Linked DNA regions of Cricetulus griseus. The protein of the gene in region 1 purifies or fractionates together with the protein of each later gene. This does not show direct contact. Links are inferred from orthologs where the notes say so. Each region holds a gene or a part of one and is shown in the gene's direction. Other genes may lie near its edges.

Evidence for each region.
Region 2: the proteins of Rint1 (region 1) and Bnip1 purify together in Homo sapiens (co-immunoprecipitation; 3 studies listed by BioGRID and IntAct, counting the BioPlex papers as one, with this or other methods). This does not show direct contact. The link is inferred for Cricetulus griseus from reciprocal best matches to the Homo sapiens genes RINT1 and BNIP1.

Annotation. Positions count from the first base shown.
Region 1 is NW_023276806.1:170,795,309-170,799,126, reverse strand, and holds part of Rint1 (RAD50-interacting protein 1), read left to right. Parts: intron 1-1,966; coding exon 1,967-2,181; intron 2,182-2,517; coding exon 2,518-2,698; intron 2,699-2,766; coding exon 2,767-2,885; intron 2,886-3,818. UniProt on the Homo sapiens protein: Involved in regulation of membrane traffic between the Golgi and the endoplasmic reticulum (ER); the function is proposed to depend on its association in the NRZ complex which is believed to play a role in SNARE assembly at the ER.
Region 2 is NC_048600.1:47,020,067-47,024,378, reverse strand, and holds the start of Bnip1 (vesicle transport protein SEC20), read left to right. Parts: upstream 1-1,501; 5' UTR 1,502-1,549; coding exon 1,550-1,633; intron 1,634-3,976; coding exon 3,977-4,069; intron 4,070-4,312. UniProt on the Homo sapiens protein: As part of a SNARE complex may be involved in endoplasmic reticulum membranes fusion and be required for the maintenance of endoplasmic reticulum organization. Also plays a role in apoptosis.

The DNA of each region.
Region 1 (3,818 bases):
CTGTGATACCAGCACATGGGAGGTAGAGGCAGGAAAATCAGAAGTTCTAGGTTATCCTCAGCTGCACAGGAAGTTCAAGTTTAGCCTGGGGTACATGAAATCCTCCCTCACAAAACAACAACAAAAGCCTTTATAGTTTCAACATTGGTTAATTTCTCTTAGATACTTTAGATCCAGTACTAAAGTGATTTCAGAGGGCCTGTGGGCTGACTTCTTGGGCAGGGTGCTGTTTATCTACATCCATAGATGTTCTAAAACTGAGATAACAGCTATGCATTTGGCTTTATACTTGTGTATAAGTACATAAAGTACATTTCATGACAGAAGCCATTCATAAGGATCTTAGATAACCATGCGATGGTGAAATATCCACTACACTGTAAAAACTATGATGAGCAAATAGGCACATTATAAACGTAAGCTGTTATATATCATAAAAACAAAATAGGCAAAAAACCCCAAATAGACAGATATACCACTTAAAAATATAGTATGTATAGGGGAATTAAAAAAATGATACGTTTGAGGTTAGGATTTAGCTCAGTGGCAGAGTTCTTGCTTAGTACAAATGAAGCCCTAGATTCAGTCTCTTGTAGACCAGGCTGGTCTCGAACTCACAGAAATCTGCCTGCCTCTGCCTCCCGAGTGCTGGGATTAAAGGCATTGGCCAACACCGCCTGGCTACATAACAAGATCTTAAAACAGTACAAAAAAGAAAACAAACAAAACTCTTACATGCACCAAAGCCAAAACAAAACCCAGACAACAAACCCACACAAAACTGCTACCAGTGTGCATGGAGAGAGCTTTAAGCCTCTGTATATGGCAGGTGAAGATGTAAGCTACTGCAGCTGCTGAGGAAGACAACCTGGCAGTTCTTTAGACAGCAAGATGGAATTAAAAATCCAGCAGTTCCACTCCTCCAGACAGGCAAAGACAAACAGGAACACCATTTCTCACAGAAAAAATGCACACACCATTGTTTTCAGAAACATTAAGCATAAGAGATACAAAATAGAAATAATCCAAACATCCAGCAGCTAGTGGAGTGGATAAAATGTAATATGTTTATATGATGGAGTATTTGGGGGTAATAAAAACAGATGAAGTACATAGTACATGCTATAGAACTAAGTGAAAGAAGTTGGTCATAAAGAATAATACTTCATTTGGTTCCATTTCCTTAAAATGTCCAGAATTGTCAAAACCATAGACAGAGAGTAGATTAGTGATTGCTTAGACTTGAAGGGAGTGTGGAGAAAATGAAAATACAGGTAATGAATGAGGGGTTTTGTTGCAGGAAGCTAGGACAGTATTGTAGAATTGTGATGGATACACAACTCTGAATTACTGAAACTATCAAATTGTAATAAAAAGGATTTATTTTGTGCATGCATGTGTGTTTCACAGCACACTTGGAGATCAGAGACCAACTTACTGGGGTTGGTTCTGTCATTCTACCATGTGGGACCCAGGGAACAAACTTGAGGTTATCAGACTTGGTGACACATGCCTTTAACCGCCTAGCCATCTTACTGGTCCTGAACTGTACGTTTTATTTTTGGGAGAGGATGAACGCTTTTATACTTTTTTGCTTTTGAGAAAGGGACTCATGTTGCCCACACTGGTTTTGAACTCATGGTAATCTGGTGTTAGCCTCTGGAGTGTGGTGTTGCCACTGTGCCAAGGTGTGTAGGTAGTGTGTGTGTGTGTGTGTGTGTGTGTGTGTGTGTGTGTGTGTGTTCGCTCACCATGGCACACATGTGGAGGCTACAGTTGTTTCCTTTCACTGTTTTCCATCTTGAACTCAGGTCATCAGGCTTGGCAGCAAGTTACTTTACTGATGAAGCCATCTCACTGATGCTGAACTGCACACCTTAAATGAGGGAATTCTATGATATCGAAATTCTATTTCAGGATGCCTAGCACTGTGTTAATAAATGTACTAACAGATATTTGCTTTCAGTTCTTTCTGCAGCTGCAACAGGCAGCACTGGAGGTCTTTGCAGAGAATAATGCCCTCAGTAAGTTGCAGCTGGGACAACTAGCCTCCATGGAGAGCTCTGTCTTTGATGACATGATAAACCTCTTAGAGCGTTTAAAGCTTGATATGTTGACTCGCCAAGTAGACCATGTTTTTAGAGAAGTGAAAGACGCTGCAAAATTGTATAAGAAAGAAAGGTATGTCTTGCATCAGTCACCCTTAAAATAAGTTAGAGTCAAAGGTGTTATGTACACTCTAAATTTTAGCTTTTGTAGAACCCCCACCCCTAGTTTTGGCATTGAACTTGGGGTTTGTGTATGGTAGGTTCAAACTTTGGTTTTGATGTAAACCTTTCTAAAATCTATTTTGAAGAATTTACTCAGAATATACAAGTTATAATGTGGATCTCATAGAGAAATGGCATATGATCTAGGGTTGACTAGCTCAGTGCACAAGTTGAAAAAAAGATTTGTTGAAACCTTAAGGATACAGAGTGATAAGGTCATTTTGGTGAAGGTTGTTTGTTTTTCCAGATGGCTGTCCCTGCCGTCTCAGTGTGAGCAGGCAGTGATGTCCCTGTCCAGCTCAGCTTGCCCACTCTTACTGACCTTACGGGACCGTCTGCTTCAGCTGGAGCAGCAGCTTTGTTTCTCCTTATTCAGAGTTTTCTGGCAAATGCTTGTAGAGAAGCTGGACATGTACATCTATCAGGAGGTAAGTCAGTGGGTGCTGGGGGCTGTGCTGGTGAAGGCAGCCGTTACATGGATTGCTCTTTGTTTCAGATAATCCTGGCTAACCATTTCAATGAAGGAGGAGCAGCCCAGTTACAGTTTGATATGACACGGAATCTTTTCCCTTTGTTTTCTCACTATTGCAAGAGACCGGAAAACTATTTCAAACAGTAAGCCTAATGTCTAACTGTAAATATTGGCGTATCCAAATGTTAGAGGAGTTGACTTCTTTTTAACAATTTTAGAGTTTCATTGATATTTGTTAAAATATCATCAGTTAAAATCTGGAGCTGGGCCGGGCGTTGGTGGCGCATATCTTTAATCCCAGCACTCTGGAGGCAGAGGCAGGTGGATCTCTGTGAGTTCGAGACCAGTCTGGTCTACAAGAGCTAGTTCCAGGACAGCCTCCAAAGCCACAGAGAAACCCTGTCTTGAAAAAACAAAAAACAAAAACAAACAAACAAACAAAATCTCAAATTCAGAGCTGGAGAGATGGCTCATAAGTTAAGAGCACTTGATGCTCTTGCAGAGGACTGGGGTTTGGTTCTCAGCACTTATATAGTGGCTTACAACCATCCATAACTCTAGTTCAGGGGTATCTGACACCCTCTTCTGGCCTCCATGGGCACCAGGCACATACAAGGTGCACAGACACATACAGGCAAAACAGGCACATAAAATGAAAATTTAAAAATATATGAAAATTAATTAAAACCTTTAAACATTCATTGTATAGTTTATTTTCAGAACACAATAAGGAAACCAGAATAATGCATGTGATCCACATCCTCAGAAATTTGAGCAGAACTAGGTATAAATTACATGTTGGACTTGCTTCCTAGCATCTGGTTCTGTGCTATTTACTTGTTATTGGGAGAGTAAAAAGAAAATGGATGCAAGTATAATTCTACCACCTGTAGAAAATAAGAAATCACAGCTAGGCTTAGGGACTAACAGTAGACTAACCAGAGGACAATTATTTTTTTTTTATAAATTTAATACCAGTTTAGTTCTAAGTATAGTTATAAACATGAGAACAATTACTAGGCATCTAGTAAAAAATTTGTTGATGTAAAATTTACATTATATATAGGGCTTATGCA
Region 2 (4,312 bases), on another chromosome or scaffold:
GAATTCTGCAAATTTTGCAACCAGAATACTAATAACAGAAAGGGCTCCTGGAAACTGATGCAAAATAGGTTGATGACAAAGTAGAAAAATGAACAAAGTAAATGTGATAGCTTTGAAACATTCCTAGTCTTGTTCATTATGAGAGATGCAAAATAAAGGCATTTTGAGCAACAGACCAAATGGTAAGGCTCCCAGTGTCAGCACACCATGCTGGTGGGCTAGAGAAAATGGGTATTTCTATCATTTTGCTGGTGCAACTGTAAACTGATATGGCCACTATGAAGAGAATTTTTTTTCTATTTTTTTTTTTTTTTTTTTTTTTTTTTTGAGTCAGAACCTCAGACTCTAGTCCCGACTAGCCCGGAACTCACTATGTAGACCAGGCTGACATGGAACTCACAGAGATCTGCCTGCCTCTGCCTCTGCCTCTGCCTCTATCTCCTGAGTGCTGGGATAAAGGTGTGTGCCACCACACCAAAAAGGAAAAGAATTATGAAAGCAAGTCTGACAACTTCATTGGTGAACATCTGTAATTCCAGCACTTCAGAGTTTGAGGCAAGAAGACCAAGAGTTCAAGGTTGTTCTTGTCTACATAGACAGTTGGAAACCATCATGGGCTACATGAGACCCTGCCTCTGAAAAGCCAAGATAAAATACATATATCGTTTCACTTACTCCATTTGTTCTGTCCTCCTCTTCTTCTCACTTCCTATAGCCAAACGATTTAATCAAGTGTGACTATGCAATCGAAGCAGGGGATAGAAAATGCATGAACATACATACTCCCAGGATGTTGCTTAGTAATACGTGAATAGCAACTAGTAGTCATTGAGTTCAACAGCACGTTATCAACACTGCTGCATTTCAAGTATTACCTCATTTCACATGGCACAATCAGAACCACTCCTGCTAGATACTTGTAATCCAATTCTACACAAAGAGCAACATCAGAGCCATAAAAATGTGTAAGGAAGGCAATGTAGGTTCTGTGTCTGAGAAAGCCCTAGGATCATGGTTGTACTAATGGAGATGCTCCAGTGACCTGCATTGAGTTATGCACTTTTACAGATTTTTGTATCTTACTCCATAATTCATACTTACTGTAGAAATTGTGTTTTAAGTTTTAAAGAAAAAATGCAACTTTAGTGGCATCCTAATTGATCCTTTTTTGTTCCTGTGCAAAAAGTCATTAGAGTAGCTGGTGCCTGAAAGATGGAAAGTGAGCGGATTTTTGTTGTTGTTTTGCTAGTGCTGGGGTCAGAACCCAGGGCCTTGTGGTGTGTCAGGCAAGCCCATCGCCAAATGAGCTGTGTCTTCCAACCCTAGTGGTTCTTCATAATTACTTTCACTTTTCCGTTTAGTAGGAGCCGACGTGAGAGGCTGTCCGTGTTCCACGTGTCAAGGAAAATCCCAGGTCTGGGCTAGCAACTTGGTTTGCTCCGCACTAGGTCTCCCGGTGCCACATTGAAAGAAATACGGGAGGAAGGCCGGCGTCACGCAAACACGCTCAAGTTTGGCCACCGCTGCTCGCCGTAGCCGCGTCTCCAACATGGCGGCTCCCCAGGACGTCCACGTCCGGATCTGTAACCAGGAGATTGTCAAGTTCGACCTGGAGGTGAAGGCGCTTATCCAGGTACAGATTCTTAGACCCTCGCCGTGCTCTCGTTAGCCGTCTTGGCGTTCTCCGGTACCTTCGCGCACGGCCCAACTTAGCCGGCAGGCGTCCCTGCTCCAGGCCGGTTCCTCCGGCGCCGTTCTGTCGGGTCCCTGGGATCGCTGACCTTCAGCGCTTTTCTTGTGCATACTGTTGGTTCGCCCGCCGCTGGGGCATCCCGACGCCCCTCTCCTGTCCCCTGGCGATACAGCAGAGGTCCGGGGCTAGTCTGCTCACCCGCTGTCTCGGCGGTACCTCCGCCCTGCCACCTCCCGGATCACCTCCCACACCCTCTTCCCTGTGTTAGGGGCCCAAGAGGGTACCCAGGGCCACCTGACACGGGAGTCACTGGCCGAAGCTAACGTAACCTGGACCGTGGCTGTAATTTTTTTTGAATGAAGACATCTAATGGAGTGCAAGTCCTGGGTCAGAAGGCAGGCAGTGCCAATACTAGGACCTGGACGGGGAAAAGCCAGCCTAGGAAAAGCATTTTAGAGCTTCCGACGGGGAAGTGGGGCGCTTATCTGGAAGCAGGTGTAAGTAGGAGACAGTAGTGCAAGCAAGTTAACATAGGCAAGAGTAGAGAATGTGGAAATGGCTCCTCAATTTAGAAAAACAAACGAACAAAAAACAACTGAAGAAACTCATAATACAATCTGTGACAGCAAACGAAGAAAGGATAGGGGCGGGGGTTGGGGAGCACGTGGCTCTGCTGATGAATGCATGCCTATCTTGCACTGGGTTGCATCCCCAGTGCTGCATAAATGGGCGGTGGTTGCTGGGATACATATTCTCGAGCCCCTGTCAAAAAGGGATGAGGAAGTAGTACTCTCTGATAAACCAGATGCACACCTTACCACATCAGTAGTTTATCCTATGCCTCAAGGGGGTATGATTTTAAGAATAAGCTAGAGAATAAGTGAAAAAACTTGATGCAAACCTTAAATGTCTCAAACTTCACTCACTCCTGGGATGTGTAAACAACAAAATGTCTGGCCCAATTCTAGAAAAATAAACAAGAATTGGGTTTATACAAATGAAATTACCAGGGGCTGGGGGTAAATGTAACTCAGTTTAGAGTTAAATTTAGCCATGCTCAAGGCCCTGCTTTCAGTCCTCAGAATGCATCAATAAATACATATACATACATAAAACTAAGCTGCTAGTGTGTTGGTGCTAGCACTTGGAAAGAAGAGGTAAGAAAATCATGCATCTGAGGCCAACCTGGAGTACATAGAGTGACCCTGTCTCAAAAACAAAAAACAGACTACATCCAAAATTTAAAAAAAGAAAAGTTACGTTTTCATATTCCGATCTGCTAGGTCTCTTTTGTGACCCATGGTTTTTGGATTCTTGTGGTTACTATTGAGTAAGCATAACCCCATACATTGCATTCTTATGGTCTTCCAGCCATTCTGCTAAGCATTTTATGTAAAGAAATATGACTTTGAGGTAGGTCAGATGAAGAATTGGAAGTACAGAGAACTTAGGCTTTTCAAGATTGCAAGTTTTCAAAATTTTCAAGTTGTTGTAAACAGGATTTGCATATAGTAGCCCAAGTCTAGAGCCTGCACTAAATCTTGGCTCTAGTGATTCTGAATTTCTTTCCAGAAGCAAATTCTCAGTATCTTTAAACATTATGACTTGCAACAGATAGATGGTTTGTAAAATCAGACTAAGTTACTTTAGAGTTGAAGGATATGAAGTCACAGTATCTCTTAGATGCCCATTTTTTTTTTCCCCAGACAGGATTTCTCTGTGTAATCGTCTTCACTTTGTAGACCAAGGCTGGCCTTGAACTCACAGAGATCCACCTGCCTCTGCCTCCCAAGTGCTGGGATTAAAAACTTGCGCTACCATCGCCTGGCTTTAGATGCCCATTCTTGATGAACATGTAAGCTGCTCAAGCCTTTCATATTGGCTGGATAGTGCTTTGTAAAAGTCAAGGTTGAGTTTATCTAGCTACTTATTTATCTACACACATATAATAATACATATCGTGTGTGTGTGTGTGTGTGTGTGTGTGTGTGTGTGTGTGTGTGTGTGTGTGTGTGATGCTGGTGATGAAACCCAGGACCTCAAGCACATGCAAGTGCTTTACACTGAACTGTACATCCCGGCTACTTTTATGTATTCTGCTCAGTGTTAATCTTAAGGGGGATGAGGAAACTGAAAATGATGTTTTTGCTTTTGTGCGAAGGAGAACAGCAGTGAGCAGGATGAGGTGAAACTAGGCCAACCTTAGTTGTGGGCTAAATCAGCTTTCCTTCTGTATATGTCATTGACTGGAGAAAGGCCCCTCATCTCTTCCTTGTCTTACAGGATATTCGAGATTGTTCTGGACCCTTAAGTGAGCTCACTGAACTGAACACTAAGGTGAAAGAAAAGTTTCAACAGTTACGATGCAGGATACAGGTAGGTGAGGCTCCAAACCTTTGTTACCTAAGGGTAGGTAGCCAGGGTGGGAGCTCTGGCCTAGAGTTTGAGAGTTGACCAGGTTCTTCACATACTACCTGGAGAGAGTAGTAAACATTGTTACACTGAGGGTAAATGGACTAACAAAGAATGGAACCTGTGCACTCATTCCCTGCTTGAGTCTGTCACCAACATGTCCTGGGTGTTTTACATGCTATCATTTTTCGAAGTAACCCCCCCTTA